Pelodiscus sinensis: one gene and its partners. The protein of the gene in region 1 interacts with the protein of each later gene in a pairwise test. Links are inferred from orthologs where the notes say so. Each region holds a gene or a part of one and is shown on either strand. Other genes may lie near its edges. The genes, in order: NTAQ1, macrophage migration inhibitory factor, ACTG1 and RBPMS.

Region 1 (6,987 bases):
TCAGTTACTCCTTACTTTGCTTAAGAGCAGGCAAAGGGAGTTGTTGCCCTGGGCTCAGTAATTCCCTTTAAATTGGCACGCCAGGTGGCTCTGAAGGCAGAGGAGGGGGGCACTGAGAGCTGGCTTCTCAAGCCCCACCCCTTCTGTCCAAGACCCATCCCTTCCCAGAGTGCACAGCCACTGCTCTCACCCCCCTTGCCCAGAGGCCCTCAGAAGCTTTCAGCATCCCTGCTTAAGAGATTTTGGTGAAGGACCTTGTCAAAGACTTTCTGAAGGTTCTGGTACACTACATACACTGGATCACCCTCATTTGCTGACACCTTCAAAGAATTCTAACAGGTTGGTGAAGTCTGATTATTTTTATTGCTTAACATGTTGGTAGTACTAGAACAATTAAACATGGTACAAGAATCTATATAGACCAGAATGTCTTACCCAAATCACAGGTTCATCTCCACGTCCTGATTGTTGCTTCCACAGTGGTATCTGCAAATTACCAGTTAGAAGCTAATGTTAAGTAAGCTTTAAAAAAAAAAATCTACAATTTGTCTAATATGAGATGATAAAATTAGTGTTTATCTGTGATGCAACACGTAAGCTTTTATCAGATTGTTTTTTAACTTTTGAGCTTAAACTTTGGGCATTGTTTTGGATCACACAGACCATTCAGTCTCCTCCGCTGACTGATAGTAATAAAGGAATCCCTGCTATCCCATTCTCAGGGAGGTGATACTTCTCCAGATGTCCACCCCAAGGGACAGACTACCATACATGACTAAAAGACGTGCCTTTTAGGTTCTTTTCAATATCTGTGTGACCAGGGGGCCCAGGTGAGCTACAGGGGTCTGGCCACATTTGTGCCTGGATTAGGGTTACCAGAGTGTTTCAGAAAAATACCGGACATACATGATCTCACATTGGGGATGAGGGACCAGTTACAGGAAGCAGGGCTGACCAGGAGGGAGAGAAGGGGAAACCGGCCAGCGGGAAGCGGGGCTGGCCCGGGTGCACGGAGATCCCGGGGTGCTGCCCGTCCCGCACACGGTCTTGGCAGGGTGCACAGGTAAGTCCGGCCCTAGGGATTCCATCCCAACCTGGCACCACCCACCTCCTCTCTACTGTGTAGTTGCATACTGCCTGGCCAATAGACACACTCACACAGTGTGAGTGTGTCTACGAGCCAGGCAGTATGCAACTATGTATTGTTACTCATGATAATAATAAAACTTACTTAATTAGAAAATACCAGACATTTATATGTCCGGTATTTTCTCAATTTGTTTCCTAGACAGAAAGCTCAAAACTGGACACATGGCAAACCTAGCCTGGATCCATCTTTCATTCACAGTAAATCGGTTTTGATTCAATAAGGCAACTTATCAACTTACCATCCTTCTTTCATTGGATATGAAAACAGCAAAAAATTCTTCTAAAGGATATTGATCATAGCTTCTGATGTATTCACAAAGTTTCCAAACATTTTCCTCACTGTAAAAATACAAGGTTTTTTTTGTCCCCAGTTCTTGTTTTATTTCTGATTTATACAATAAAAACAGCATGGCTGTTATAACTTTCCCACTTTTGGATTCATTTTTCTGTTGAAGACTTTTTCCCAGCTCCTTTCACACATGTATTTTTAAGCTCTAAAATGTAGGTTCAAGCCTTTAAAAAGGTTTTACACAAATAATTCATAGGTTTTTTTGGCTCTACTATTAGACAGCAAGAAGCATAGCTTGGTTTACTCTGTCATGACATGCTTTAATACCAAATGATTGGTATAGTTAGTGTTTTGTCTTTTCCTTACTGTTTGTGGCAAAGTAGTTTTGATTAAAGTGTCAACAAATTAGGTTAAATAAACATTTTACCTGGAAAGATACATGTCATCAAGTGTATGAAACAACTTGACAAATATAAAATTTTAAATAGACTTCCATCTGATCTTAGTGACATATTAATTTTATATATATATATATATATATAATAGTTTAGCACAATTCTAAAGTAATAATCGTGTATATAACATTTAATACTACTATTAATAGTTTTGCACAATTCTAAATAAACTGTCACTGATAATAGGACAGGATGCACAAATTATTAATGGAACCATAAATTATGTTCTGATAAGCTATTCAGAAAGCCATACAATGATCTTGTATATTGTTATTTGTCAGTAAATCATCCTCCAATCATCTTGGTTAACCAGTACTATGAGTGTCCTAACCAATGCATCCTTTTTTCCTAGAATATCAAATGCTATCATAAGAAAAATAATATTCTATCTCCAGGCTGTTATGACCTCATTTTCTTCTGCTTTGCCTCCTGCAAGAGTATGTACAAGTTTTCTAAAGAAAAATGGAAATATGGGAGATTCCAATGGAAAACAATGACTTTCAGTACATCCACTCTTTGTGCATTAATTCCTTGACTAATGAAAAAGAAGATTTACCCAGCCACATTTCTTACATACCTATTACTACTTACCAATAGCAGCTGGTATACACACAAGCATGCCGAGCAGGGACAGCTGGCTGGTAACCTGCAGCTCCTACTTCTGTCTGTTCCATATGCGACCCTCATCCAGAGATATGGGAGTGCTGGGTTTAATAGGCTAATAGGCTCATACACCTCCCCCAGCTGTATAAAGCACCGGCTCGCTCAGGAAGTGTTTATGCCGGAAGTTAGTGAGTTACAAGCAATTTCTTCCCCCAAGGAAATCCGGATGTTAGTGCTTTCCTATGACTAGGAGCTCAGGCAGGCAGGAGGGAGGGGTTTTATCTTGGATACGAAACAAGATAAGTTTCTAATTGCTCTATTAAACCCCACCATGTTACATCAAAGGCAGGAGAGAAGGGGTCAAGTTGAATCAGAAGGGTGGGAAAAGGGAATTTTTTAACCCAGAATAGGTTGCAAAATTTGAGTCAGGATGAGCAAAAGGGACGTTTTAGCTTAATGAGATGATCCAGAGGCTGCCAAAACAAAGGAGAGGGGGTTTGAGTGGGGAGGTGAGATCCTGAACTTACAATGGAAGGGAGGGAGAGACCAGAACAAGCCTTGACAAGAGGGCAGGGCTGGGCTGGGCTAGCTGATGAAAAGGGAAGATTAATTAAATCTGCACCTGTTAGTGAGGGAAAGGCTGAACATGAGCCACAGGAAAATGCTGGGGATGAAAAGGAAACCTGTTCTCAAAGTGCATAGAAAACATCCCCAGAGAAGTATTTTTTGTCTTAAATGTACAAGGCCAAACAGCTATTTCAAAAGCTTCAGAGGGGTAGCAGAGTTTGTAACAGGAAAACCTTAAAAAACAACAAATAGTTCAGTAGCACCTTAAAGACTAAGAAAATATGTAGATGGTACATGTAGATGTCGCTTTTGTGGGCACAACCCACTTCTTCAGATGACCAGAGTGTTGGAAATTCATATCCAAGAATAAATAAGGGAGGGGGGAGGAGAAGAAAAAAAAGGAGGGGCAGAAAAAATGTGACAGTGAGTAGATAAGCTTTAGAGCAGTGGTCCCCAACCTGTGGAGGTTGCCGGGCGCCAGGGGGCGTGGCAGTTCGCCCGCTGGGCGCCAGGGGGCGGGGATGGGGGCGGGGTCCCCCCATAGCCATGCGCCCGAGGCCGGAGCCCCCTCCCCCCCAAGCTCCGTGTGCCCGGGGCCGGCGCCGCCCCCCTCCAAGCGCCCGGGGCCGGGGCCAGCGCCCCCCCTCCAAGCGCCGCGCGCCCGGGGCCGGCGCTCCCTCCTCCCCCCCCCCAAGCGCCCGGGGCCGGCGCTCACCCCCCATCCCCGCCCCCCGGGGCCGGCGCTCACCCCCCATCCCCGCCCCCTGGGGCCGGCGCTCACCATGCGCCTGGAGCCGGCTCCGGCACTGTGCGTGCACCACGTGCCCAGGGCCAGGCCAGCCCCGAGCACGTGGCGGGCGCACACGAATGCCCCCGCGGGCGCCATGGTGGGGACCACGGCTTTAGAGAGATAGCCAAGTTAGTCTGTAACAGGAAAGACTTAAAAATCAAGAAATAGTCTAGTAGCACTTTACAGACTAAAGCTATTTCAAGTTCAATATATCCATTTCTAGTTGTCTTTTTGTTAAATTAGTGGAAAGAGATCAAGCCCATTTAAAGTCCTGAAAACCTGTGGAAACTTGCATACCCTGGCAAAACCAGTGGCTGCACAAGGGACTTTAATCTCCTGGCCATACAACACACAAAACAGCATACTTTTATACAGTGTTTTTACAGGTAGCACCACACAAAGTCAGGAGGTTTAATAATGTAAAATACTTTTGATATTAAAAAGCTGTATTCGTTGTTGTGCAAAAGTGCTGTACATTTGTCTAGTAGCTATTATGTCTTACCCCATAGTTTGGCAATGGGCAGGACTACCTTCAGGAGGGACTGTGTAGAAAGTTTGACATTTTTTCCCCTAGCACCACAAAACATTTCTTAATTTATTTCCAGGCCGTGACACTTCTGTAAAATGGTGTCACATCAAAACTACAGCAAGTTCTCAATTTTTTATGACTGAGATCACATCAGCATTTTGGCTGTTTGGCTATGAGCTTTGTAGCACACAACTTACTTTTTATTGAAGTGTGCTAAACTTTGCATGATTTTAAACTTTTTGAGAGAATGAAATCTTAATATTCTAAACTTCTATTTGGCTTATTGCACTGGCAGTGGGAAGCAAAATAGAGGAAGTGGGGGCAGGACTTTGCTTAAACAGTTTATTTTGGAGTCAAAATGTGATTATTGCACTCCTGTGATGGAATATGCTAGCTACTAGAGTTATGTCCCCAAGATGGGCCTAGGATAGCCAAAGATCAATATTTTCTAAAATAAGGAATTTACAGATGGGCTGCTTACTAAATCAATGCCCAAACCTCCCCCAATACGAGTTTTGGGGTGTCCACTATTTTTAAAAATCAAACCATAATCCAGGTGTTAAAAAGTGGAATGGGAGTCTAACTTTAGGTCCTTGTTTTTTTAAAAAAAGAGCTTGTTGCTACAAATATTAAAAAGTTGGACTGCAGATGTCACAGGTCCTAGCAGATCACACAAAAGCCAGGTCCTTTACCGTAGGCTCTTGTAAGGACTGCAGCTGCCCCACGCCGGGCTCTTGCTCTGTGATTGAGGAACAGCTGTCTGAAACACGGGCAGTGTCCCTTTAAGGGACGGGCATTTGACTCAGTCCCATTTCAGCGGGAAACACTGGGGCGGGCTGCTGAGCGCCTTTCTTGTAGCCAATCAGAGCCGGGTAAAACAGTCTTCCAACTTTGCACGCGCCAAAAATTCCAAAAGGACGCATCACCTATGCGTGTCTCTCCGCCTCCCTTCGGGAACTAACCTACAGGGAGAAAGAGTCCTAAGAGACAACCGGACGGAACGGTCCGCCTCGGGCTGGCCGAAAAGTCAACGAAGGAGTGTAAGAGCGGGTGCCGTATTTCACTAGTGGCGCTACTCTGCTCTAATGAGAGGTAGAGGCGGAGGGATACGACGGGAGGGCGGTGACGCGGCAGCCCGCGGTTTGTGGCGCCAGAATTCGGAGAGAAGCCGCCGCCCCCTTCTTCAGCCGGGGACGCGCCAGCTCCGGCCATGGTGATGCTACGGAGCAGCACGGGCAGCGGCAGTCCGCTCCAGTCTGCCGCGTCCCGGGGCAGCCAGGCGTCCCTGTACGACCTGATGGACTCGAGTGCCGAGTTCCTGTCCTTGACCCCCGCGCCGCGGAGCCGCAGGATGGGCACCCGCTCGGCCACAGCCGCCTCCGGCAGCAAGTGCGGCAGAGGAGCCAGGAGAGCGCCGTCAGCAGCGGGCAACGTGAGTACAGGGCAGCCTGGCTGTGCAGATCGAGGCGGATGCCGCCTGGAGCGCACGAGAACCCCACCGCCGCACTGGCCTCCGTGGTGAGGGGCGCTGCCAGTGCGCACTAGGTGGGGGAGGGGGAGCTGAGCTCTCCTGGCCGCGGGCGAGAGGGGTGACCCCACCCCGCCTGCAAAAAAATAGAGGCGTGGCCTGCTAAACTCCACCCCCTGGTGCTGGGCGGAGTAGGGAGCCAGCCAGAGTGAGGGCTGAGGGAGCTTGTGGTGGCACGTCGAACTCGTCTTCCTTATTCTGGGGTTGTCTCTGCCCCTGGCTCCTTCTGGCTTTTGGTAACCGGAGTAACCGCGAAGCTGTGGTCGCTCCCCAAGGGCTGGCTCCAGAGCCTCCTGCTCACCTACTGTTTAAGGGTCAGAGCCTGGCCCTTAGGGTTAAAATTGTGTGGCTTTAAGTGCGGGGATAAGTAACATAGGTGAGACAGCGCTTTACACTCTTTCTGATGTAACTTGGTGAGGTCATAACTCTCTTACTGTGGTTGGCTCTGTTTATCTCCTTGCGGCCACTGTTTTGTTTGATTTCAGGATAGTTAATGTTACCTCAGGAGATAACTCATCTTTTTAAAAGCTGAGGCCAAGGCTACAACGATGAAATATTACCGAGGTGGATTGTGCAGATTAACACATAATAAAGCTTAAAATTTTGTTAACTGCAGTCATTAGAGTTCAGTTAACACTTTAAACAAATCAGTGAGGGCAGATCATGTCTTTACACGATGATGGAACCTGCTGAAGCATAAAATTGTAGAGTGCTAGAAAGGAGCAATGAAAGTCGTTTGGTTAGAAAGTTAAACCAGGTCAAAATGCTCCACACAGATCTGTCCCTCTGTTAACTCCTCTGGAATCCATTAAATGTTTCCATATCCACAGTAAAACCATGGGGAATGCCACTCTATAACTTCAACTTTGTAGGAAAATAATTCGTATATGAAAGTCAAATGTTCAAATCTATTTAACTACTAAATGACAGTCTGGACATTTCTGGTCTACGTGACATTCCAACTGAAGGTGTATGTATGTACATGTCACTTCTGAAATGCAAAACAACATGTTTTTCAGTTAATTTCACAGTAGTCATAAAGCTTCATAGTTGCATAATTTAAATTTTAACAGACCT
Region 2 (7,821 bases), on another chromosome or scaffold:
CATCCTCCCTGACTGGACCCACCTCGTCATCTCCAGTCTGATCCTGGCCTGCATATTTATACCTGCCTCTGGAAATTTCCACTACCTGCATCTGACGAAGTGGGTCTTTGCCCACGAAAGCTTATGCTCCAACACTTTGGTTAATCTATAAGGTGCCACAGGACTCCTCACCGCTTTTGTTTAAGGGGACCAGCCCCCCTTTGACAATACTTAAGGAAATGTGCTTCCTAAAAATGCTGTTTAATATATAAAATGGTTCCTTTTAAACAGAGTTCAGTCACGTTAGCCTGTGTGGAGAAATTAAAAATTAATTTAGGAACGTATGTTCTACTAGGTAAAAATCTGGGCTTCTAAATGAAGTTTAGATATGCTTTATGGCCTGATTATAGTAGCCGGTCTAACAAAATGTAAACAGAATTAACTTGAACTGATTTTAAATTGTATTTAAAAATAGTTTGAATAGCATGGCTTCCCTGGCTCTGCCCTTCTTTTAGAATCAGGCTGTGTCTACACTTCCATGTGACTGACAAAACATTTATCAGCCACGGGTGCTTAACCCCACCCCCCTCCGTGAAGGACAAAGTTTTGCCGCAGCAAGTGAAAGTGTGAACACTGCTGTGTCAGCAGGAGAGCTCAGCTGTCCCCGAAGCGGAACCCCCTTGTTGGGGGCACAAGTGTTCAGTCAACACAAGTGCCAACAAACTGGGCTCACACATGCTGACTTCTATCCAGGGCTGGTGTGATTATCTATCGGGTTTAGTTTGAATGGGGCATTGTGGCCCAGGCCACCAGCGATGCGCATCAGCCCAGAGCTCTGTCTCTGCCCATGCAGAGCTTCAGCAGCTGCTCCCCCAGCGAAGCAAAGTGATCCTGGGAAGGCAGCAACCGGCATGGGGGCACATGGGGCACATTCAGCACCAGTGTGCATGGCAACTTCCTCCTCCTGTGGGCTGGGGGCCCCTCCAGGGGGGAGGCCACCACTGCGATGTGCTGCCCACAGCTTTGGGACATGCCTTAGGTAGAATCCGCCACCCAGGACAGAGGGGCCAATAATAAAGTGCAGGGCCATGTGCGGGGGAACTGACTGCACACACCTCATGCTGGCCCTGCTTTTCGTGACAGGGCTATATCCACACAGACTTGTGGCTAAAAGCTGTAGAGTGAAGCTATAACCTCCGTCGGCACATTTTAAACTAACGGTAGGGCGACCCTGCGAACCCTGCCTGTATCTGTATTAGCAAAAGTGTGTCCAAAATTGTACTTACACTAAAAAAAACCCATAGTTGTCGGTAGGTAGGTAACTGCTTAGAGGAAAGCAGATCACATCTGCTTCAAAAGGGCAGTATCAGGTCCTAGGATTTGGAATGTGCAGAGACAGCAAATGGACAAACTCCACTCATTTATCCCCCCTCCCGCTTTTCAGCAGCTGAGCAATTTCCAATGACATAGAAGACTGGAATGGAAGCAGGGCCAGCTCTAGTTTTTTGCCACCCCGAGCAAAAAAAATCCCGCCCCCCTTTTTTTGTTGGCTTTTACACGTTTGCACTTTGCAGTGTTTTGTTTGTTTGTTTTCATTTTTGTTGTCCCGGCATTTTAGCCCTATAAATAGCAAATGTAATCTTAATTATTTTTTTTCCATAAATGCAAAAGCACTTCAAGTAAACTCCCTCTCCCCTTTCACTTGCTGCTGGGTCACAACAGCCTTTTCCCTGCCCTGTCCAGCCCCGCCCTATGGACAAGCACCCCTCACTCCCAACCCACCGGGGCAGCAGAGCCAGCACAGAGCCAGAGGGGCAGGGGCAACAGGGGGAGCAAGGGGACTGGGGTGCTGGGGTGCACAGAGCCAGAAGGGTGCAAGGAACAGTGTGGGCATACAGGGGTGGCACAGGGAATGGGAGGCGCAGGGTGCGGGGTGCAGAGGAGGCACAGGGAATGGGATGCAGGGAACGGGAGGGGCAGAGGGATCGGGGTCCAGGAGCAGTGCAGGAAATGGGGGACACAGACCCAGAGGAGTGCAGGGAAAAGGGGCTGCGGGGTACAGAGGTGGCACAGAGCCAGAGAGATGTGGGGACTGGGGTGCAGGGGCAGCGCAGGGAACGGGTGGCGCAGAGCCAGAGGGACGAAGGGAACAGGGAGAACAAAGGGACTGGGGTGCAGGGGAGCAGGGTGCGGGGTGCAGGGGCGGTGTGGGGAACGGGTGGTATGGAGCCAGAGGGGCACGGGGCGGGGCGGGCACAGCGAGCCGGGCAGCCGGCAGGGAGCGGTCTCTCGCCGGCCAAGGGAACTGGGGCCGCCGCAGGACTGGAGCCAGCAGGGAGGGGCAGAGCCTGGCTGTGCCGCGCTCCGCAGCCAGCTCCCGGGGACACACAACCAGAGCCAAGCTCCCTTTTAAATTGTCAGGGCGGGGCGGGGCTGGGCAGTGCCGGGGGATGTCTGCTTACCTGGAAATGTCGCCCCTGGAATTGTGCTGCCCCAAGGATGTGCTTGATTTGCTGGTATCTAGAGCCGGCCCTAAATGTTAATTAGGAGCTTAACCCTTTTGAGGATCTGGACCTAACTGCTTTGCATTGCATTAAAAAAAATGTTGGGTGCGATTCCAGCATCTTAATTTTTTCAATACCTTTCTTCCTGAGATTTATTATTTATTGTTATTATTATTATTATTATAAAATACAGTAGAACCTGAGAATTACAAATACCTCGAGAATGAGCATTCTTTGTAACTCTGAAATGTATGCAGCCCTGAAGAAAAAGTTATGGTAGCTCTTTCAAAAAGGTTACAACTGAATACTAACAATACAGCTTTGAAACTTTACAATGCAGAAGAAAAATGCTGCTTAACTTTTTTTTTGTAAGTTTACATTTAATGCAGTGCTGTATTGTATTTGCTTTTTGTTTATTTTGTTTCTACTGCTGCCTGAGATGTACTTCTGGATCCGAATGAGGTATGTGTTTGACTGGTCAGTTCATAACTCTGGTGTTCATAACTCTGAGTCTCTATTGTATGAGGCCATGCTTAAGTGAGAACAAAAGGCACAGGTCACATTTTATAAAGTATGCTGTGTAACCAAAAATGAATGCTTAAACTCGTGTGTGCATGTGCAACATATACACACTCCAAGTGAGTTACACATGCACATGGGCAGTTTTAGTGAACATGCAAGCCCTATGCATACCTGAAATCCAAAGAGAGGGCCCAACATTGCCTCTCAGTGTGTAGGGGAAACCCGCCAAAGTGGAGAAGAGTACATCCACAGCATCACTCCCGAGAAAGACCATAGATCCTCTCCGTACAAGAACAGCAGCATGGCTAGGGTTCTACTGTTTTGGGGTTGGCAGACCAGGGAAAGTGAGAATATCTGGGGTGCAGTCACTGACTGCAGCACGCTCCTCCCCCTCTTCCCGTATTGCATAAATTCCCAGAAGCAATACCCTTACCTTCCTGCAATCTTTCAGGGAGCTGGAGGTTGGGGAGCAGAGAAGGAGAATGATTTAAGCAATTGCAAGGAATAATAGAGACAGCTCATTTTTCTAAATGGTATTACAAAAACATCTTAAAACATTCACCCGTGTTCTTGACCCAGACGCTGCCTTTCATTATTTATTGTACACTGGTTTTGTGGGTCATTACTTATTATAGGATTATGTATATATTGGCTCTGTCTGTGTGTGTTGTGGCCCTCCATTTATATATATAGTGTGTGTGTGTGTGTGTGTGTGTGTGTGTATTACCCTCCATTTTGTGAGTCATCTGACTAGTGCGAATTGGGGATGACATGCTACCTACCAGTCTGCCTGAGCAGCATTGGGGAAAGCTACGTGCATCTCAGCACGCAGCCCAGCAGAGGGCTCATGTCCCAAGCAGCCTTTGGCTTCTACATAAAGGCAGCTCACTCCTCTTCAGGCACGAGCCAGGATCAGAGCACGTCTGCATAATTCAGTTCCAACAAGAACACAGACTATAGACTAGTGATAGAGATGCAGCCCTGTTAGTCTGGTCTAGCTGAAACAAAAGACAGGACACAATAGAGAAATCGTGGCCACAATCGTTTCCTATGTAAGAGTGAAAAGCAAAAGAGAAGAACTGTAGAACTCATGCCAGCAACACAGACATAAGCCATGGTTTGCATTATGTGATGGGGGTGGGGGGAAGAGAACCAGGCAAACCCAAACACACATGTTTGTATATAAAAAAAGTGCAGAGGGCTACCATTTATTTTGCAAATAAAAGAGCACTTTCTGGGTAGAACTTGCGTGTTTGCCCCCATCCTGCAGACCGGCTTATGGTAGGTGTCACCCCACCATCCATAGTCCCACTGAAATCAGAGGATGGGCGGGACCTATTCACAGCATAAGTCTTTATCTGATATTAGCCTCATACAATGGCTTATCTGAGCCAGGGCCAGTTCTTACAGCGCCCAGCACAACGGGGTCCATAGGAGAGCCTTTGGGTATTCCCGCAATATAAATATGTATATAAATATTTATCAGTATATAAAATACAGAATCTACACATTTCATAGTTACAGGGATATAAATTCTATTGATATAGAATGTATACAGTTATTTAATAAAATAATAATAAAGCAAATGCCTGAGCAAAGGGAGGCATGGGGAGACGCCCGGCAGGAATGACGAGGGGAAACTACACACACTTCACATCCAGCAGGTGCCCCAGGACCGCGCTTGAACGGATTGTGCAGTTGCCAAAATGCGCTGCGGAGAGGGACCCGTGTTTGGGGCGCTGCTGTCCCTTTAAGAATCTGGCCTAGCGCTGATCACATGGGCTGCATTTCGGAGCATCCAGCGAGGGAGGAGGGCAGGGTCTCCGGTTCAGCTCCATTTTGCAGCAGCAGCGGCGGCGGCAGCGGCGGAACGGGTTGCTGCAGGGGCAAAGGGTCCGCATTGCAGACAGGGGCAGTTCTTTGCAAGGCTCCAAGATGCCCATGTTTGTGGTGAACACCAACGTGAGCAAGGACGCGGTGCCGGAGAGCCTGACGGGGGAGCTCACCCAGCAGCTAGCAAAGGCGACCGGCAAGCCTGCCCAGGTGAGTTGCGGAGGCTGTAACTCCATCCCGGCGCTGCAGGTTGCTTGCAGAAAGGGCAAGTCGCAGCGCCGACGGATGCTAGAGTTAGCCGGGAGCCTTGGTGCTGGTCTCCCCGCTAGGGGCTTTCTTTCTCACCCTAGCGGAAACAGAATTGAGTCTCTTGTAACTATTCTCAGTGTAAAGGGGAGATCTCTAATTTCTCTGGACAGCCTTTAGTCCAGCTTGGGTTGTCTGTCTGGGGGAGTGAGGCGAGACGGGGATGGAAGGCCTGCAGCACGTGGAAGCGTGCTTGCATGGCCCCAGGGGGCTGGCTGCTTCTCCGCTGTGGAATAAATGACTGTGCGTCTGACTCATAGGCAGAAGTGACACTACACTGCCTCGTGGACAAGGCCAGGCGCTAGGGGTGCATGGTTTGGGCGGGTTCTCGCATGCTTATCTGCTCGTTAAAGCGAATAAACTATCCCAGTTTGCCATAGAGAGGTGTGCTTGTGGGAGGGAACGGTCCTGTTAAAATGGGTAGGTTCCCATTGCAATGGGTGTATAACCTGGCAAGTAACCTTACTAACCTGGCAAGTTCCTGTCACCAAGTATTTTGCTCTATGAGGTCCACAAAAGCAAGATCAAAATGGGTCTTCGCTATTAAAGAATGGTGTGTACAAAAGACTAATGCTACCTGAGGTCACCATTTTTTGACTGTGTTGCAAGAAAGCCCGATGGGACATTAAAACTTGCCACAGAGGGCAGCAATGGGTAAGAAGGATCGTGACTCAGCTCCAGGCAAAGTTTCATATCCTGTTAAGTCAAGAAAATGTTCCACTAATATCCTGCACATACAGAGGCTTCTCATCCCCAAAGCTCTCAGACACTTTGCAAATATGGGTGTGCATCTTTGGCTTCTCTTAGCAGAGGTATAGAGTAGCCAAGTAGCTTGCCTTAGGTGATACAGTGGCTATTATCTGCTGGAATTTTCTGTGAATGTCCCTTCCATTTCACAGTAATGGGAGCTAAAGCTCTATTAGCATCAGAGTAGACAGCCCATTATTGTTTTGATCACTCTGTTATCCTAACATGCCTGTAAGCAGGCTTAGCAGATGAGGTGGCCATGGGCTTACTCCATGAATTGCAGTCACACTATTTCAGTGGTACTGGTGTAAAATGAGAACCAAAAGGCTGGTGTACCAACAGTCAACACCAGTGAATCTGTGGTAGAGCAAGCAAGAGAACAGAGCCCTCCTGTGCTTAAAGTTTTATAGATTTATGGGAGCAAGCTGATTGGTCAGTGGCTTCTGTAATGTGCCATGTATAGAGGCTAACAATTATAGCCCTACCAATAGCTGAACATTGACTGGCTAGAAAGCAAGTCCTATTGAATATTAGCGTCAATGAAGAGGATTACTAAGTCATTCTTCACAGAATTATTTAAAATTAAGCTGGGGGGCTACATCGCTATGTGTCTGGCAAAGGTACTGTACTATTGCAGTGGATGCTTTAGAAATGTACAATTAAACACCACTTGTGCTTGCCATAGCTAATCCCAGGAAACAAGCCTGCTCTCTGGATTCCAACTAAATACACCTCAGAGGAGAGAGATTGAGGACGGAATATTAACCTCCTCACTAACAGTTGATTTTGTTTCGCAGTACATAGCTGTGCACATTGTAGCAGATCAGCTGATGTCCTTTGGAGGCTCCACGGATCCCTGTGCCCTTTGCAGCCTGCACAGCATTGGCAAGATAGGAGGCCAGCAGAACAAGAACTATACCAAGCTGTTGTGTGACCTGCTCACTAAACAACTGCACATACCTGCAGATAGGTAAGGCTGCACTAGAGTGACATTCAAATTACTGGCTTGCCTAAATTATTTCTTTGGATTCTCTATTATGCTCCCTGGTGGCTGTTGTTTATTAACACCCAAGGGAAAACTCTTATCTATTGTGAATAGAGAGATACAACTTTCAGACTTCACAACAGTCGTGTGCTGGTGCCATGAATTGGCCCCAGATTAATGTGGTTCAGGTGGCTCTCAACCTTTCCAGATTACTGTACCTCTTTAAGGAGTCTCTGGCATACCCGCAAGTGTTCTCACTTAAATACTTGCTTACAAAATCAGACAAAAATAGCTTACTTTCTTATTTTTACCATAGAATTATAAAATACATGAGAATATAAATATTGAATATATATATTTCATCATACAGCCCTATAAACAAGTCATTTTATGAAATTGTAGTGTGTACTGACTTGACTTGTACTTTTTATGCAGTGTATTGTAAAACTACGCAAATATCTAAATGAGTTGATGTATCCCCAGAAGACCTCTGCATACCCCTTGTTGAGAACCACTGGTCTAGTAGGCTACCTATAATCCCAAGTGGCTGGCTGATATAGTATAATCTGAGCCTTGGGAGTTAGGGTTAAATATGATACACAAATGAATAATATTCAGTGCCCTCTTCTTTTTTTTTTTTTTTTTTTTTTTCCTGGCATGAAGGATGATCATTGGGCACCTTGGGGAGTTTGGAGGTAGGCAAGGAGACCCAGAAGAATTCTGCCACTTGACAAGCAGCTGCTGTTCTGTCAGCCAGCAAGGGAGTAGAGCAGCAGTACCCAGTGGCAACCAGGAGGAGCTGCTGCTGCTGCCTATGTGTGAAGAGGCAGGGATTAGTGATGTTAGCGACTAGTTGACTATCCGATAAGCAAATGCTTATCGGGTAGTCAAATAGGAACTCGACTAGTCGCTTCCCCACCCCTTGCTGCTTCTGTCAGAGGCAGC
Region 3 (7,078 bases), on another chromosome or scaffold:
TAAGTTGATTTTTTTTCGCTCAATGAGTTTTGCTGCTATTGGGGGGGGGGGGGGCGTGAGGGTTTCTCAAAAATCAGAAAGGGGGCGTGATGCTGAAAAGTTTGGGAACCACTGCTCTAGGCCAATCAGAACCCACCCCACTGCCCTATGGCTACTTGCTTCATAGCTCCGGCCCGGGAGGGAGAAAGCAAAGCAGCGAGAGAAACCTTTGACCGGTGCTCGGGGGCGCTGTGTCTGATGCCTGGCAGCTGGTGATACCCTGCGGGCGGCAGCCTTGATGCCCGTTTGCCCCCCGAGCGCTCCGGCAGAAGGGAGGGTGCTCCAGGCAGCCATTCGGGGCAGGCTGGCATTGTTCTTCGTATGTGCTGGGGTCTCGTCCCCACTCGGACGGGCAGAAGGCGTGGCGGTCCCCGGGGGGTACTGTGCCTGGTGTATTTCGAGGGGGTCTACAGGCTGATGTGGGTCGGGGGCACGGGTCAGACGGGTTATCTGAGATGAGTGTTCTGCCCCCGCTCTCGTCACCTGGAGCCCAGGGCTGCCCTACCCAGGATCTGAGTCTGATAGGGAGTTACTCATCCGCGCTGACGAGTGGGGATTGGCGGAGCTGGCAATCGGCTTCCTAGTTTGGACAAGAGGAAGAGAAACAAGTTACTGTCCGGGGGAGGAGGCGCGTCACGGGCACCTACAGCAGGGCTGGCTGGTTAGCCACCTCTGGATGGAGCCCGTGGGGATGGGAAGCGCCCAGCAGTTAACCTGTCGGGTGCCAATCTTGCTTGTGTGCCACAGGGATTTGCAGGCCATCCAGACCCTTGTCTGCAGAGCGGGTTTGCCAGGCCATTGCGCCGGGCCGGGAGAACAAAGAACAGCAGGCGTGGCCCCCCCTCCCGCCCTCTCACCCCAAAGGCCTGGCTGGTTTCCATCAGCACCTCTAGAGCACGGCTATAAAAGCCTTTTAGTGCCGAGGGGATGAATAATGGCTGTTTCCTCTGGTGATTAACCCACCCCCCGCCAGGCCAGGGCCGGCAGTGATGGAAGATGACGTGTTTTTCCCAGAGGCGCTGGAGGTGTCCTGGGCTGGAAGGGGAAAGGCAAAGAGGACCGCCAGCCCACCGCCACCTGGCTATTCATCGCTAATATTAGGAACCCCCCCCCATTGTAAAGAACTCGTCCACATAGTAACTTCCAATCCCACCCCACCTACATGCCACATGCCAGGAAATTCTCTGAGCTCCACCCCCTCTGATTTTTTTTTTTTTTAGAGATGAGCTGATCTGGTGTCCACTCCTGTGTATTTCATTCCTCCAGCTAATCCAGGGGTGTGTTGCTTCGTTTGTGTACACTGGCCTGCCAGAACCAAGCTCACCTTTCCTGCTTCCAAGGTAATGGTGGAGTTTGTTTATGTAGCACCCACATGTGCTCAGGGCTTTACATGACAAAGCCCTTTCTCCAAAAGGGTGGAGTCTCCCTGACAATGAAGATGGGGCTACAAAGATAGTGGCCTGCTCTCCAGAGGAGCCTTTTCCATCACTCCGAGCAGAGACTACACAACAACCTGAGTTGTATTCTGCACGCTGCGCTGCACACAATCATTGTCACACAACAGCCCTCCAGGCAGGGCCTACTCACGGTTCCAGTGGTAACTAGATGTCAGGGGTCCAGCCCTGCTAACTGGCTTGTTGTGACCTTGGAACAACCACTTCACCGTTCTCTGCCTCCATTTACCCACCTGTAAAATGGAGCTGAAGCTAGCTACTCCCTCAGCTGCTAGGCAGGAGAGTCCAGCAATGAGCCTCATCCAGCCTTTTGTTCCAATCAAGTCCTGCTGTCCATTCATTTGCATCATACAGCCAGATTTCAATCGACAATTAGTGATTATCTCCCCAGCCTGACTGACCTAGATTCCTGGGCAACAAAGATGCAGATCCCAACCTACTGGGCTAACCTCTTCCCACCCATACAGGTATGCTGAGAGTTGACAAACACATCCAAGTCACTTTGTACCCCGGTGTAGAACAGGGATGCTCTTTTCGGGGCCTGCTGTGTCATGCTTCACCCCAGAGATGGCTGCATTTCACTGCTGCTGTTTGCATACTCAGTACAACTGTACCTAGAAAATCACGTTTACCCGAAATCCCTGTTCCATGTCCCCTTGTTTTTAATTACATTCACTATTTCCCCCTTTGTCCATATTCATGCAGCTCCCATAATCCCCTAGCTGAGGACCCACTGCACTCTACAAGAGGGCTGGGCACTGAATAAACCTGAGTCACTTGGGGTTTGCTTTTTCTTGCAACTGTGATGCAGGAGGTATTATGTCCCCAGCAATGGCTCCCTGAGGCACCAGAAGAGCCCATGAAAACAACCACAAATGCAAACATTTCTTAGCTTGTTTGGAAACCCCTCTGAAGATGGCAATCGCGATTAAAAACAAATGCAAACCCGGGCAACCCACAGCTAGAGATGCCCGCCCGTCACTGTAAGGTGCCGTTGAAGCCCTAGCAGGAAAGAGGCTGTAAGATTTAAACCATCAAGTTGCAGGCCTTGATTGCAGGGCACTGGTGAGCATGCAGCCCAGGTAGCTCCCCAGGGGCGGCGGGGTGGCGCTGGGCACAAGGTGGCAGAGGCACTGCTAGAGCGAGAAGAGGGATTGGACGATGGGGTTACTGCTGCGGCTCATTAGGATGAAGGTGCGTGGCAGGGTCTGAATGCAACTGGTTAGCAGCTGAGACACAATTACAATACGCTGTGCCTGGGACACGCCATACCATGTCTGGGGGATGCGCTGCCAGTGCCTCTGGGACATGGGGGCACCCCTCCTGGCATGGGGCAGTGATATGTGATATATTTGAGTCAAACACTGCATGACCCAGGGGTGGCAGCAGGGCACAGCACAGGATGCAGGGGTGCCGTTGCGGAGTCTGGGGGTGCAGAGCATGGGTATACCAGGGAATGCAGAGCATGAGGGGGCACAGTGCAGGGCCTGGGGGTGCAGAGCATGAGATCCTGGGTTGCCAGTGGGTGCAGAGCGCAAGGGCTGGAGGTGTCAGGAGGCACAGGGTGTGGGGGCAATATTGGGGCACACAGCGCAGGGGATGTGGGGGGGATACTGGGGGGCACAGTGCAGGGTCCAGAGGGAGGGGGGCTGGTCCAACTGGGGGGGCTCCCGGGGGCTGGCTCAGGGCAGGGCCTGGGGGATATTGGGGGGCTCCCGGGGGCCGGCTCAGGGCAGGCTCGGGGGGATATTGGGGGGCTCCCAGGGGCCGGCTCAGGGCAGGCTCAGGGGGATATTGGGGGGCTCCCAGGGGCCGGCTCAGGGCAGGCTCAGGGGGATATTGGGGGGCTCCCAGGGGCCGGCTCAGGGCAGGCTCAGGGGGATATTGGGGGGCTCCCAGGGGCCGGCTCAGGGCAGGCTCGGGGGGATATTGGGGGGCTCCCAGGGGCCGGCTCAGGGCAGGCTCGGGGGGATATTGGGGGGCTCCCAGGGGCCGGCTCAGGGCAGGCTCGGGGGGATATTGGGGGGCTCCCGGGGGCAGGCTCGGGGCAGGCTCGGGGGGATATTGGGGGGCTCCCAGGGGCCGGCTCAGGGCAGGCTCGGGGGGATATTGGGGGGCTCCCGGGGGCAGGCTCGGGGCAGGCTCGGGGGGATATTGGGGGGCTCCCAGGGGCCGGCTCAGGGCAGGCTCAGGGGGATATTGGGGGGCTCCCGGGGGCAGGCTCGGGGCAGGCTCAGGGGGATATTGGGGGGCTCCCAGGGGCCGGCTCAGGGCAGGCTCGGGGGGATATTGGGGGGCTCCCGGGGGCCGGCTCAGGGGATATTGGGGGGCTCCCTGGGGCCGGCTCGGGGGGGTATCGGGGGGCTCCCTGGGGCCGGCTCGGGGGGGTATCGGGGGGCTCCCGGGGGCCGGGTCTCCCCGCTCCCGCTACTGGCCCAGGCCGCGCCCCCTTCTCCATGCAGGCTGCGGAGCGCGCTGAGCAAGGGAGGGGCGGGGCCAGGCCATCCAGCCGCCCCACGTGGCCTGGGCCGCGCCAGCCAATGGCCGCGCGTGTTTCGGAAAGATCTCCATATATGGCTATGTTCTCGGCCGGCGAGGCGGGGCCGGCGCCCCCGGGTATAAAAGGGCGGGGCTGCGCGCACCACGGTCTCACTCAGCCGGCGGCAGCGGACCCAGCAGCCTCGCGTCCCGCAGCACCGAGCGGAGCCTCCTGCCCACAGGTACTGCCCGGGCCGCGGGGCCTGGCGCCCGCCTGCGCCGCCCCCCTTCGCCAACCGCAGGCCGCGGCGGCGCGCCCCGGGCTCCTTCCCGGCGGGCCGGCTGGGGCGCGCGCCGCCCCCCCCTTTGGGGGTTCGCGGTGGTACCGCCCGGCCGGCCGTTTGAATGGCGCGAGGCCGTGGCCGTGTGCGGGCTCTGGCCAGGTAGGGGCTGTGATTGGTCCCCCTGGCGGGTGACGTAATAGAGCGGGAGGTTTGTTTGAATGGAGAGGGGTGGGGCTGCTTGTCGCTCTCCGCGGGCAGAGGGGCGGGGCTGTAGGCTAGCCCGTTGCTCCGGCAACAGGCCCCTGGCGCAGCGGGCGGGCGGGGGGAGAGGACCTGGCTGCGCCTCGCGCCCTGCCCGGGGCTGTAGGCGGCTGAGCGCGTGCTGCGGGCTGGGGGCAGGGCTGCCCTCGCTGCCATGGGGGGTGGCGCCTTTGCAAGCTGGGCGGGGCAGGCACGTCTGGCTCCAGCTGCTGGGATCCTGCAGGGCCAGGCCTGGGTGCAGTTAGTGACCCCCTGCAGGTGGGGGCCCCCCCGGCCTTGGCTTGCACCTGCAGGTGGCCCCCCCCCCCCCCCCCCCCCCCCCCCGGCCTTGGCTTGCAGCACAGACCGAGCTCTCCTGGCTCAGCCTGTGCTGGACCCGCCCTTGACCAAGGTCTCTCCCCTCTGCAGCAAGATCTCCACCATGGAAGAAGAAATTGCAGCGCTCGTCATCGACAATGGCTCTGGCATGTGCAAAGCTGGCTTTGCAGGAGATGATGCCCCTCGAGCCGTGTTCCCCTCCATTGTTGGGCGCCCGAGACACCAGGTGAGCAGCCAGCCACGTACCCGTGAAGTGAGAGTGGCCAGGTGTAATATTGCTGGGGGTTATGAAAAGGGGCCTTGACACTTACGGCCTGCCTTGTTTTTAAAGGGTGTCATGGTTGGCATGGGGCAGAAGGACAGCTATGTAGGCGATGAGGCCCAGAGCAAGAGAGGTATCCTGACTCTCAAGTACCCCATCGAGCACGGCATTGTCACCAACTGGGATGACATGGAGAAAATCTGGCATCACACTTTCTACAATGAGCTTCGTGTAGCACCTGAAGAACACCCTGTTCTGCTGACAGAAGCTCCCCTGAATCCCAAGGCCAACAGAGAGAAGATGACACAGGTACACTTGCTGCAGTAGTCTGTGATCTGCCTTCCTCCCTGTTTCACAAACCATCTCTTTCGTTATGGATCTCTTTTAAAACTCAAGTGTTCTTTCAATATTTTCAGGGCTCTGTACACCTCCTGGCATTTCCTTCCTGAAGTCTCAGGTTTCTTTTTTTGTTTTCTTTCTGCCTGCGTTCTTTGCTTTTCCTTTCCCAGCACATCAGTTTTTGCATGCAAGCATGTTTTCAAAGATTGGCTTGAGGCGAGGTTTTCGTACTACCTGTAGTAAAACAGAACTTTCTTTGCAGATCATGTTCGAAACCTTCAACACCCCAGCCATGTATGTTGCTATCCAGGCAGTGTTGTCCCTGTACGCCTCTGGTCGTACCACTGGTATTGTTATGGACTCTGGTGATGGTGTTACCCATACTGTGCCCATCTACGAGGGGTATGCTTTACCCCATGCCATCCTGCGTCTGGACTTGGCTGGCCGAGACCTGACAGACTACCTCATGAAGATCCTGACAGAAAGAGGCTACAGCTTCACCACCACAGCTGAAAGGGAAATTGTGCGTGACATCAAGGAAAAGCTGTGCTACGTTGCCCTGGATTTTGAACAGGAGATGGCTACTGCTGCTTCATCATCCTCCCTGGAGAAAAGCTATGAGTTGCCTGATGGTCAGGTGATCACCATTGGCAATGAGAGGTTCAGGTGTCCAGAGGCCCTCTTCCAGCCATCCTTCCTGGGTAAGTATCTACCAAACCGTCATCTGTGCTGGAACACAACAAGCCATGAGAATCGCTGGACTGCCAAGTGCTAGCTTTGCAGTGCTGACTGCAATCTAAAGCTGGTTAGGGGAGGGGTTGGGTAACTGAAGTCTGATCACTTCTGTCTCTTAGGTATGGAATCCTGTGGCATTCATGAAACCACTTTCAACTCCATCATGAAGTGTGATGTAGATATTCGAAAGGACCTGTATGCCAACACAGTATTGTCTGGGGGAACCACAATGTACCCTGGGATTGCTGACAGAATGCAGAAGGAAATCACAGCTCTGGCACCCAGTACGATGAAAATTAAGGTAAATGGCTCTCCTCTTTCCAAAGAGCTACTGAGTCATAGGAGGAGGCTGCCTTTCCAGATATTCTTGACCACTGACTAACTGCTTCTCCTGTCTTTCTAGATTATTGCTCCACCTGAGCGTAAATACTCCGTTTGGATTGGTGGCTCCATCTTGGCGTCTCTCTCTACCTTCCAGCAGATGTGGATCAGCAAGCAGGAATACGATGAGTCTGGCCCATCCATCGTCCACCGTAAATGCTTCTAAATGGACTTTTCACTAGTATACATTTGCCTGGGCAAATTTATACACTTCATGCTAGCCTCATAAAACTGGAATAAGCCTTTTTTCAAAAACTTGCCCTTGGGAAAGTCTGTAAGACAAATGTCAGTGACTCGAAGTTGCTGATTTGACCCTGTATTCAAGTTAACTGTTCCCCTGGTACATTTCAGCACCTACCCTGTATGTATCTGACCAAACCTTGGTACAGGTGGCATCACTCATGTGGCATAAATGCTAGGGTTAGCTTGTATTGGTAGAAGAATGTTCAAGTATCTCACTATGGGCTAGTGACTCCTGGTAATTCTAGGGTTTGAGCCTAGATTTGTACAGGGTATTTGTCAGACTT
Region 4 (7,265 bases), on another chromosome or scaffold:
GAGGGCAGGCCGCCCGGCTCCGGAGCAGGACATGACGCGTGTGGAGCTGCGCTGGCTGTGGACGGGCTTGGAGAGGAAATTTGAACAGGCTGGGGCTCCATTTGGCGCGGAGGGGCTGTTCTAAGTGGCGTGGGCAGCAGCAGCAGCACAGGAGTTCCTGGCTAAGAAGAAGGCAGCCAGGGGACCATAGGACGCTACGGCTTGAAAGTTAGTGAAAGAGCCCAGAGACAAGGTGAAGCCGACCCTTTCGCTGAACGTACAGTATGGAAGAAGCCAGTGGTACAGCCTCTGCCCATGCAGACACAGCCCTCCCCCCTGCCCCTTGTGATCCATAGAGCCCCAGGCGTCCTGCACTCCTGCCAGGTGGTCCGTGCGGCTCGGGGAACACTGGACAGCAGAGGCATCCTGCCCAGCCAGTGAACAGGGCAGGAGCAGCTCTCTGCAATTCACTAGGGGTCCTTTCAGCCAGAGCACTCACAATCCGCCCATTCATCCCCCCTCCCGCCAGCACAGGGAAGTAAGAGACACACCTCGCGTCTCCTGCTCTGCCCCACTGCAGCTGCTTAACCCTTCTATGCCTGTGGGGTAGCCACTCCGAGCCGCAGCAGGCCTGTCCTCAGGACTTGTGGGGCCCTACGCCCCAAAGCAGCGGGGGGGGGGGAGAACTTTTAGAGCTGTGAATTTTATACACTTCAGCAACACCCGAATGAAAGTAAATTCAGAACCTGACAGTATATACCTGGAGTTGACAAATGCCTGTTCAGTTACTTCATTCTCCCTTGAATGGCTCTTTCACAGTTTCAATGTCTGTTAACTGCGCTGGCTTTTTCATTTTTACGTTAACTAGATCCTCTCCGGAAGAAGCGGAGTCACAGAACAGCGCTAAGAAGAGGCAGGTGGGTGGATATTAAGACCCACTGGTGCCCCACATTTTTGGGGGCCCTACGCAGCTGCATATTCTGCATATGGGTAAGGCTAGCCCTGAGTCAAGCATATCATTCATAACAGTCCTACACACACGACCCCCCTCCCAATCAGCATACTGCCATGTGCTTGGGCCTGAGATTGCATTAGGCCTGGAGAAATATTTTGTATGGGATGCGAATTGTCTTTCGTCCATTTGTGCAGAGGTGCAATAAGAGAGGTAGCCCCAGAAGCGTGTGCACACAATGTGAGAGAGAAGAGCACAAGAGCATAAGAACGGCCACGCTGAGTCAGATCAAAGGTCCATCCAACCCAGTGCCTGTTTTCCAACCGTGGCCAATACCAGATGCCCCAGAGCGAGGGAACACACCAGGGAATCCTCAAGTGACCCCTTTCCTGTCAGCCATTTCCGGCCTCTGACAAACAGACGCCATCCCTGCCCATCCTGGCTAATAGCCATTGGTGGACCTAACCTCCATGAATTTAATCTAGCTCTTTTTTGAACCCTGTTAGGCTACATCTACACAGCAAAGCTATTTCGGTAGTATCCCGAAATAGCTAATCTGTGTCTTTTGAGCGCGCCAATTATTTTGAAATATAATGGGCTCGCTATTCTGATATCCCTGTAAACCTCGTTCCACAAGGGTTAAGGGATGTTTTGGAATAGTACCTTATTTCCAAAGTTCAAAATAAGCTATTTTGAAATTACCTCGAAATAAGCTACACAATTAGCGCAAATTGCGTAGCTTATTTCAAGGTAAGGGTGCAGCGGAGATGCACCCTTAGGATATGTCTAGACTACATTGCTCTGTCGACGGAGCCATGTAGATGAGTTTACTAGACATAGGAAAATGAAGCGGCGATTTAAATAATCACTGCTTCATTTACATCAAAATGGCCGCCGCGCTGTGCCAATCAGCTTTTTGATGGCACAGCGGGGCAGTCTGGATGCACTGCGGTCGATGTGGGAAGCCTTTGTTGACCACCCCGGTATGCCTCATGAAATGAGGTTTACCGGAGCGGTTGACAAAGGCTTCCCTCATCGACCGCGGCACGTCCAGACTGCCCCGCTGTGCCGCCAAACAGTTGATCGGCACAGCATGGTGGCCATTTTGATGTAAATGCAGCAGTGATTATTTAAATCGCCGCTTCATTTTCCTATGTCTAGTAAACTCATCTACATGGCTCTGTCAATGGAGACATGTAGTCTAGACATACCCTTAAATTCCTGGTCTTCACAACATCCTCTGGCAAGGAGTTTCACAGGTTGACTGTGCACTTCATGAAGAAAAACTTCCTTTTGTTTGTTTTAAAACGGCTTCCCATTAATTTCATTTGGTGACCCCTAGTTCTTATGTTATGGGAACAAGTAAAAAACTTTTCCTTATTTACTTTCTCCATACCTGTCATGATTTTCTATACCTCTATCATCCTCCCCACCTTAATCTCCTCTTCCCTAAGATGAAAAGTCCCAGTCTTTTTAATCTCTTTTCATATGGGATCTGTTCCAAACCCCTCATCATTTTTTTTGCCCTTTTCTGAACTTTTCCAGTGCCAAGATATCCTTTTTGAGATGTGGTGACCACATCTGTATGCAGTATTCAAGATAAAGCAGAGTAGTGTGTTTTTGGGGCCCAGGGCAGGTCACCCCCAACAGTCACCTCTAAGGGAACAAAGCAACACCCACAGGTCGGGGAAGATGCTTCATTTTGGACCCTCCTTCAAGCATCCCCTGGCGCATGGAGACAGACAGCCTGTGCTGCCCTGTGTATCTGCCGTGCTGGCCAAGTTCTGTAAGTGCCACCAGTGTACCAAGGAAGCTGGGTGCTGGGAAGGGGTCTGGGAGGGTGGATAGGTACCCCTCTAGGGAAAGAGGCATATGTTGTATGCTGGGGGGGAGCCCACGGGCCCATTTGTCACCCTTGTCTGTCCCCACCCCAGTGCTGGGACTGTGCTGTGTGACATCTCTCTCTTCTGCAGGGGCCGGCTGAGTTTCAATGAGGTGCCTCTTTCGGCCTTGACAATTGAGGGACTCTCTCCATTGCCCCCGGTGTCAGGGCACTGGAGTGCGGGGGGACTGTCCAGTCTCTCCTCTGCCCTGCTTCCGGCACAGCCACTCTGGTCCGAGCTCAGACTGCCAGCGTTGAAACCAACTGACAGTGTCTTACAGGGACTGTCCTATTGCAACCTGGTCCCTGCCAGCTCTTTCCAGAGCTCCTTGCTGGAGCTGCACACCCGGGCACACCTGCTTACTGTCACCTCTGGACTGCACTCAATGGGCTGAGCTGAGACCAAGGGGGGTTGCGAATCAGTGTTTCCTGAAAGCAATCCAGGAGACATTCAGGTGCAGCCCAGCTCATTAGCAGAGATCTCACAGCAAGTGTTTCTACTGATGGGTGCACAGCTGCTCGTGACGTGGTGCACATAACATTTATTCTGCACAGGTATGGAAAAAGAGGGAACATTGGTAAGGGGGAAGTAATATGTGAATGTGGGGGGCTATGGCTAGATCTTGCAATGGGATCTGTGGAGGCATAGCCTGTTGTCAGGGGAGTGCCCAGCCTTCAGTGGGGCTCAGTGTAGATCCAGCATAGCCCAGGACTGCACCAGTGCTCTCCTGCTCAGGATGCAAGAGGAGAAACTCAGAACAAGTGCAAAGTTGGTTCAATGTAAAGTTGCTCCTTATAATGTGATCCTGTGATTTTCAAAGTACACGTTGCAGCCCAGCGCTGGGTCGTGGGATGCCAGGCACTGGGGTGCCGTGCTGTAGGGTGGCCAGTGAGGGTGCTGAGGCAGGCCCCCTGTCTGTCCTGGCACCAGAAACTGTACTGGGCCCTCGGAAGCGGCCAGCAGAAGGTTTAACTCCTAGGCCAGGTGGCCATGGGACTCCATGTACTGTCCCCACCCCGGGCACCAGATCTGCAGTCTCATTGGCTGTTTCCTGACCAATGGCAGCTGGGGAGGCCCTCACACCTGAGCCCCCACACACCTGAGCAACCCTCACTGATGGGGGGCTCACTCAGAAGGAGACAGACAGTCCCCACGTTCTCCTTGGGCAGAGTCTAGGGGGCCCTGGCCTGGTAGATTTTGTGCGCTCAAGCCCCATGGTGGGGCGGCAGGGACTCCCTGATGGGGGGGGGAGCCCTGAGCCTCAGGGGCTGCATCCGGCCCACGGGCCTGAGGTTCCCCACCTCTGCTCTAGCGAGTGGGGCACCTCGATGTGCAACATTGGCGGCGGGTGCCTGGTGCCTTAGAACAGTACATGGGGGGGAGGTGCCAGGGCCCCAGGGGGCGAGGCCCATTGGCGGCTGGTGCCCAAGGGAGCAGGGTTAGGGGCTGAATGAGTGGCCACAACAGCAGAACCCTCCACCCCCCGGCGGTGAGGCTGCCCTCGGGGCTGCGCCATTGTGACTGGCAGCCCACGAGGGAGCGGGCCCCGGGCGCGCAGGGCCCCACACCCGGCCCCGCCCCGTCCCCACGCCAGGGGGCCGGGAGGCGCTGGCCTCGGAGCGCGCAAGGCGCACGGCCCCCGGACTCCTGCCCCAGCGGCGGCCGCGCTGGCTGCCCCCGCCCCCGCGCCGCTGCTCCCTGCCGGGCCGGGCCGGGCTGGGCCGCCGGGGGCTCAGAGCAGCGCCGCCCGCCCCGCCTGGATGCTGCTGCCAGCGGCAGGGACCAGCCTCTCCGCAGCCGGCTCCGCGCGCCCCGGGACGGCAGCATGAACAGCCTCCCCGCCGACAAGGACAGCGGCCCGGCCGAGCCCAGCCTGCCCGAGGACGAGGTGCGGGACGGGGCCCCGGGGGAGCGGGGCACAGGGTCTGGGGGGGCGGGCGGGCAGTGTGGCTACTGGGGGGAGCGGGGCAGGAGGTGCGGGGGCCGGGGAGCGGGACGGGGTGTGTGGGGAGGCTAGAGGGGAGCGGGGTAGGGGGGCCGGGCGGGGCGTCGAGGGGAGCGGGGCTGGGGCGCAGGGGGAGCGGTGTGGGGGGCTGGGGTGCAGGGGGAGCGGTGTGGGGGGCTGGGGTGCAGGGGGAGCGGTGTGGGGGGCTGGGGCGCAGGGGGAGCGGTGTGGGGGGCTGGGGCGCAGGGGGAGCGGTGTGGGGGGCTGGGGTGCAGGGGGAGCGGTGTGGGGGGCTGGGGCTGGGGGGAGCGGTGTAGGGGGGCCGGGCGGGGGGAGCGGTGTAGGGGCCGGATCCCGGAGGGGAGCGGGGCTGGGGCGCAGGGGGAGCGGTGTAGGGGGGCCGGGCGGGGAGGGGAGCGGTGTGGGGGGCCGGGCGGGGAGGGGAGCGGTGTAGGGGGGCCGGGCGGGGGGAGCGGTGTAGGGGCCGGATCCCGGAGGGGAGCGGGGCTGGGGAGTAGCTAGGAGGCTCCGGAGGTGCCCGCGGTCTGTCCCGGGCGCTCCGGCCGCCCCGCCGGGCTCACTCAGGTGTTTGCTCCGCTCCGGCCGGGCCCCGCCTTCGCCCGCTGCGGGGACGGCGCCCGGGCCGCGGAGCGCCACCTCCGGGGCCGCGCCTTCCCGCTGCCCCCCGCCGCGCAGGGCGGCTCGGCCGGCGGGACTCGTGGTGCCCTGGAGCGCTCAGCTCCCGTGGCCCCGCGCCGCTCGGCTCCAGCTAGAGCCCCCAGCCAGCGTGTGCGGGCTGAGTCCCCCTGCGCGCTGCTGGGGCTGTGTGCCTGGCTGGCACTGCCCTGCCCCGGGCGCTCTGGGGCTGTGTGCCTGGCTGGCACTGCCCTGCCCCGGGCGCTCTGGGGCTGTGTGCCTGGCTGGCACTGCCCTGCCCCGGGCGCTCTGGGGCTGTGTGCCTGGCTGGCACTGCCCTGCCCCGGGCGCTCTGGGGCTGTGTGCCTGGCTGGCACTGCCCTGCCCCGGGCGCTCTGGGGCTGTGTGCCTGGCTGGCACTGCCCTGCCCCGGGCGCTCTGGGGCTGTGTGCCTGGCTGGCACCGTCCTGCCCTGCCCCGGGCGCTCTGGGGCTGTGTGCCTGGCTGGCACTGCCCTGCCCCGGGCGCTCTGGGGCTGTGTGCCTGGCTGGCACTGCCCTGCCCCGGGCGCTCTGGGGCTGTGTGCCTGACTGGCACTGCCTGCCCTGCCCCGGGCGCTCTGGGGCTGTGTGCCTGGCTGGCACTGCCTGCCCTGCCCCGGGCGCTCTGGGGCTGTGTGCCTGGCTGGCACTGCCCGCCCTGCCCCGGGCGCTCTGGGGCTGTGTGCCTGACTGGCACTGCCTGCCCTGCCCCGGGCGCTCTGGGGCTGTGTGCCTGGCTGGCACTGCCTGCCCTGCCCCGGGCGCTCTGGGGCTGTGTGCCTGGCTGGCACTGCCCTGCCCCGGGCGCTCTGGGGCTGTGTGCCTGGCTGGCACTGCCCTGCCCCGGGCGCTCTGGGGCTGTGTGCCTGGCTGGCACTGCCCTGCCCCGGGCGCTCTGGGGCTGTGTGCCTGGCTGGCACTGCCCTGCCCCGGGCGCTCTGGGGCTGTGTGCCTGACTGGCACTGCCTGCCCTGCCCCGGGCGCTCTGGGGCTGTGTGCCTGGCTGGCACTGCCCGCCCTGCCCCGGGCGCTCTGGGGCTGTGTGCCTGGCTGGCACTGCCCTGTCCCGGGCGCTCTGGGGCTGTGTGCCTGGCTGGCACTGCCCGCCCTGCCCCGGGCGCTCTGGGGCTGTGTGCCTGGCTGGCACTGCCCGCCCTGCCCCGGGCGCTCTGGGGCTGTGTGCCTGGCTGGCACTGCCCTGCCCCGGGCGCTCTGGGGCTGTGTGCCTGGCTGGCACTGCCCTGCCCCGGGCGCTCTGGGGCTGTGTGCCTGGCTGGCACTGCCCTGCCCCGGGCGCTCTGGGGCTGTGTGCCTGGCTGGCACCGCCCGCCCTGCCCCGGGCGCTCTGGGGCTGTGTGCCTGGCTGGCACTGCCCGCCCTGCCCCGGGCGCTCTGGGGCTGTGTGCCTGGCTGGCACTGCCCTGCCCCGGGCGCTCTGGGGCTGTGTGCCTGGCTGGCACTGCCCTGCCCCGGGCGCTCTGGGGCTGTGTGCCTGGCTGGCACTGCCTGCCCTGCCCGGCTGGGGGATCCCAGGACAGCACCCAGACAGCAGCAGTGCAGGGGAGTGCCATACGCCCGTTCCAGGAAGCACTGCATGGCAGGGTGAGCAGGGGAGAGGCCCATGCTGTTGTGCGTTGCCAGGGCAGTGCGGTTACATAGGGTCTCCATGCAGTGGAGTGCAGAGGCAGGCACGCCCGGGAGGCGAGGCCTCTCTCAAAGCACACCCCGCACCTACTGCCTGGCCGCATTTCAGGAGGGTTGGTAACTCTGCTTAATTCCTCTCAGTGTGTTTCTGGGGCCAGCCAGGTCAGGCTCACCAGCCCCACCTC

The links.
Region 2: the proteins of NTAQ1 (region 1) and macrophage migration inhibitory factor interact in binary tests that used the Homo sapiens proteins (3 or more experiments, as listed by UniProt). The two-hybrid records come from large-scale screens. The link is inferred for Pelodiscus sinensis from reciprocal best matches to the Homo sapiens genes NTAQ1 and MIF.
Region 3: the proteins of NTAQ1 (region 1) and ACTG1 interact in binary tests that used the Homo sapiens proteins (3 or more experiments, as listed by UniProt). The two-hybrid records come from large-scale screens. The link is inferred for Pelodiscus sinensis from reciprocal best matches to the Homo sapiens genes NTAQ1 and ACTG1.
Region 4: the proteins of NTAQ1 (region 1) and RBPMS interact in binary tests that used the Homo sapiens proteins (3 or more experiments, as listed by UniProt). The two-hybrid records come from large-scale screens. The link is inferred for Pelodiscus sinensis from reciprocal best matches to the Homo sapiens genes NTAQ1 and RBPMS.

Annotation. Positions count from the first base shown.
Region 1 is NC_134712.1:19,804,298-19,811,284, forward strand, and holds the start of NTAQ1 (protein N-terminal glutamine amidohydrolase), read right to left. Parts: upstream 3,020-6,987; 5' UTR 2,568-3,019; coding exon 2,485-2,567; intron 1,489-2,484; coding exon 1,389-1,488; exon of another isoform or gene 1,289-1,388; intron 487-1,288; coding exon 436-486; intron 1-435. Other genes in the region: ATAD2 (ATPase family AAA domain-containing protein 2), read left to right, coding at 5,593-5,814. UniProt on the Homo sapiens protein: Mediates the side-chain deamidation of N-terminal glutamine residues to glutamate, an important step in N-end rule pathway of protein degradation.
Region 2 is NC_134725.1:6,003,654-6,011,474, forward strand, and holds the start of macrophage migration inhibitory factor, read left to right. Parts: upstream 1-4,810; 5' UTR 4,811-4,940; coding exon 4,941-5,048; intron 5,049-6,688; coding exon 6,689-6,861; intron 6,862-7,821.
Region 3 is NC_134730.1:27,479,147-27,486,224, forward strand, and holds the start of ACTG1 (actin, cytoplasmic 2), read left to right. Parts: upstream 1-4,071; 5' UTR 4,072-4,213; intron 4,214-4,924; 5' UTR 4,925-4,937; coding exon 4,938-5,060; intron 5,061-5,165; coding exon 5,166-5,405; intron 5,406-5,697; coding exon 5,698-6,136; intron 6,137-6,289; coding exon 6,290-6,471; intron 6,472-6,573; coding exon 6,574-6,717; 3' UTR 6,718-7,078. UniProt on the Homo sapiens protein: Actins are highly conserved proteins that are involved in various types of cell motility and are ubiquitously expressed in all eukaryotic cells.
Region 4 is NC_134715.1:5,179,121-5,186,385, reverse strand, and holds the start of RBPMS (RNA-binding protein with multiple splicing), read left to right. Parts: upstream 1-4,256; 5' UTR 4,257-4,264; coding exon 4,265-4,702; intron 4,703-7,265.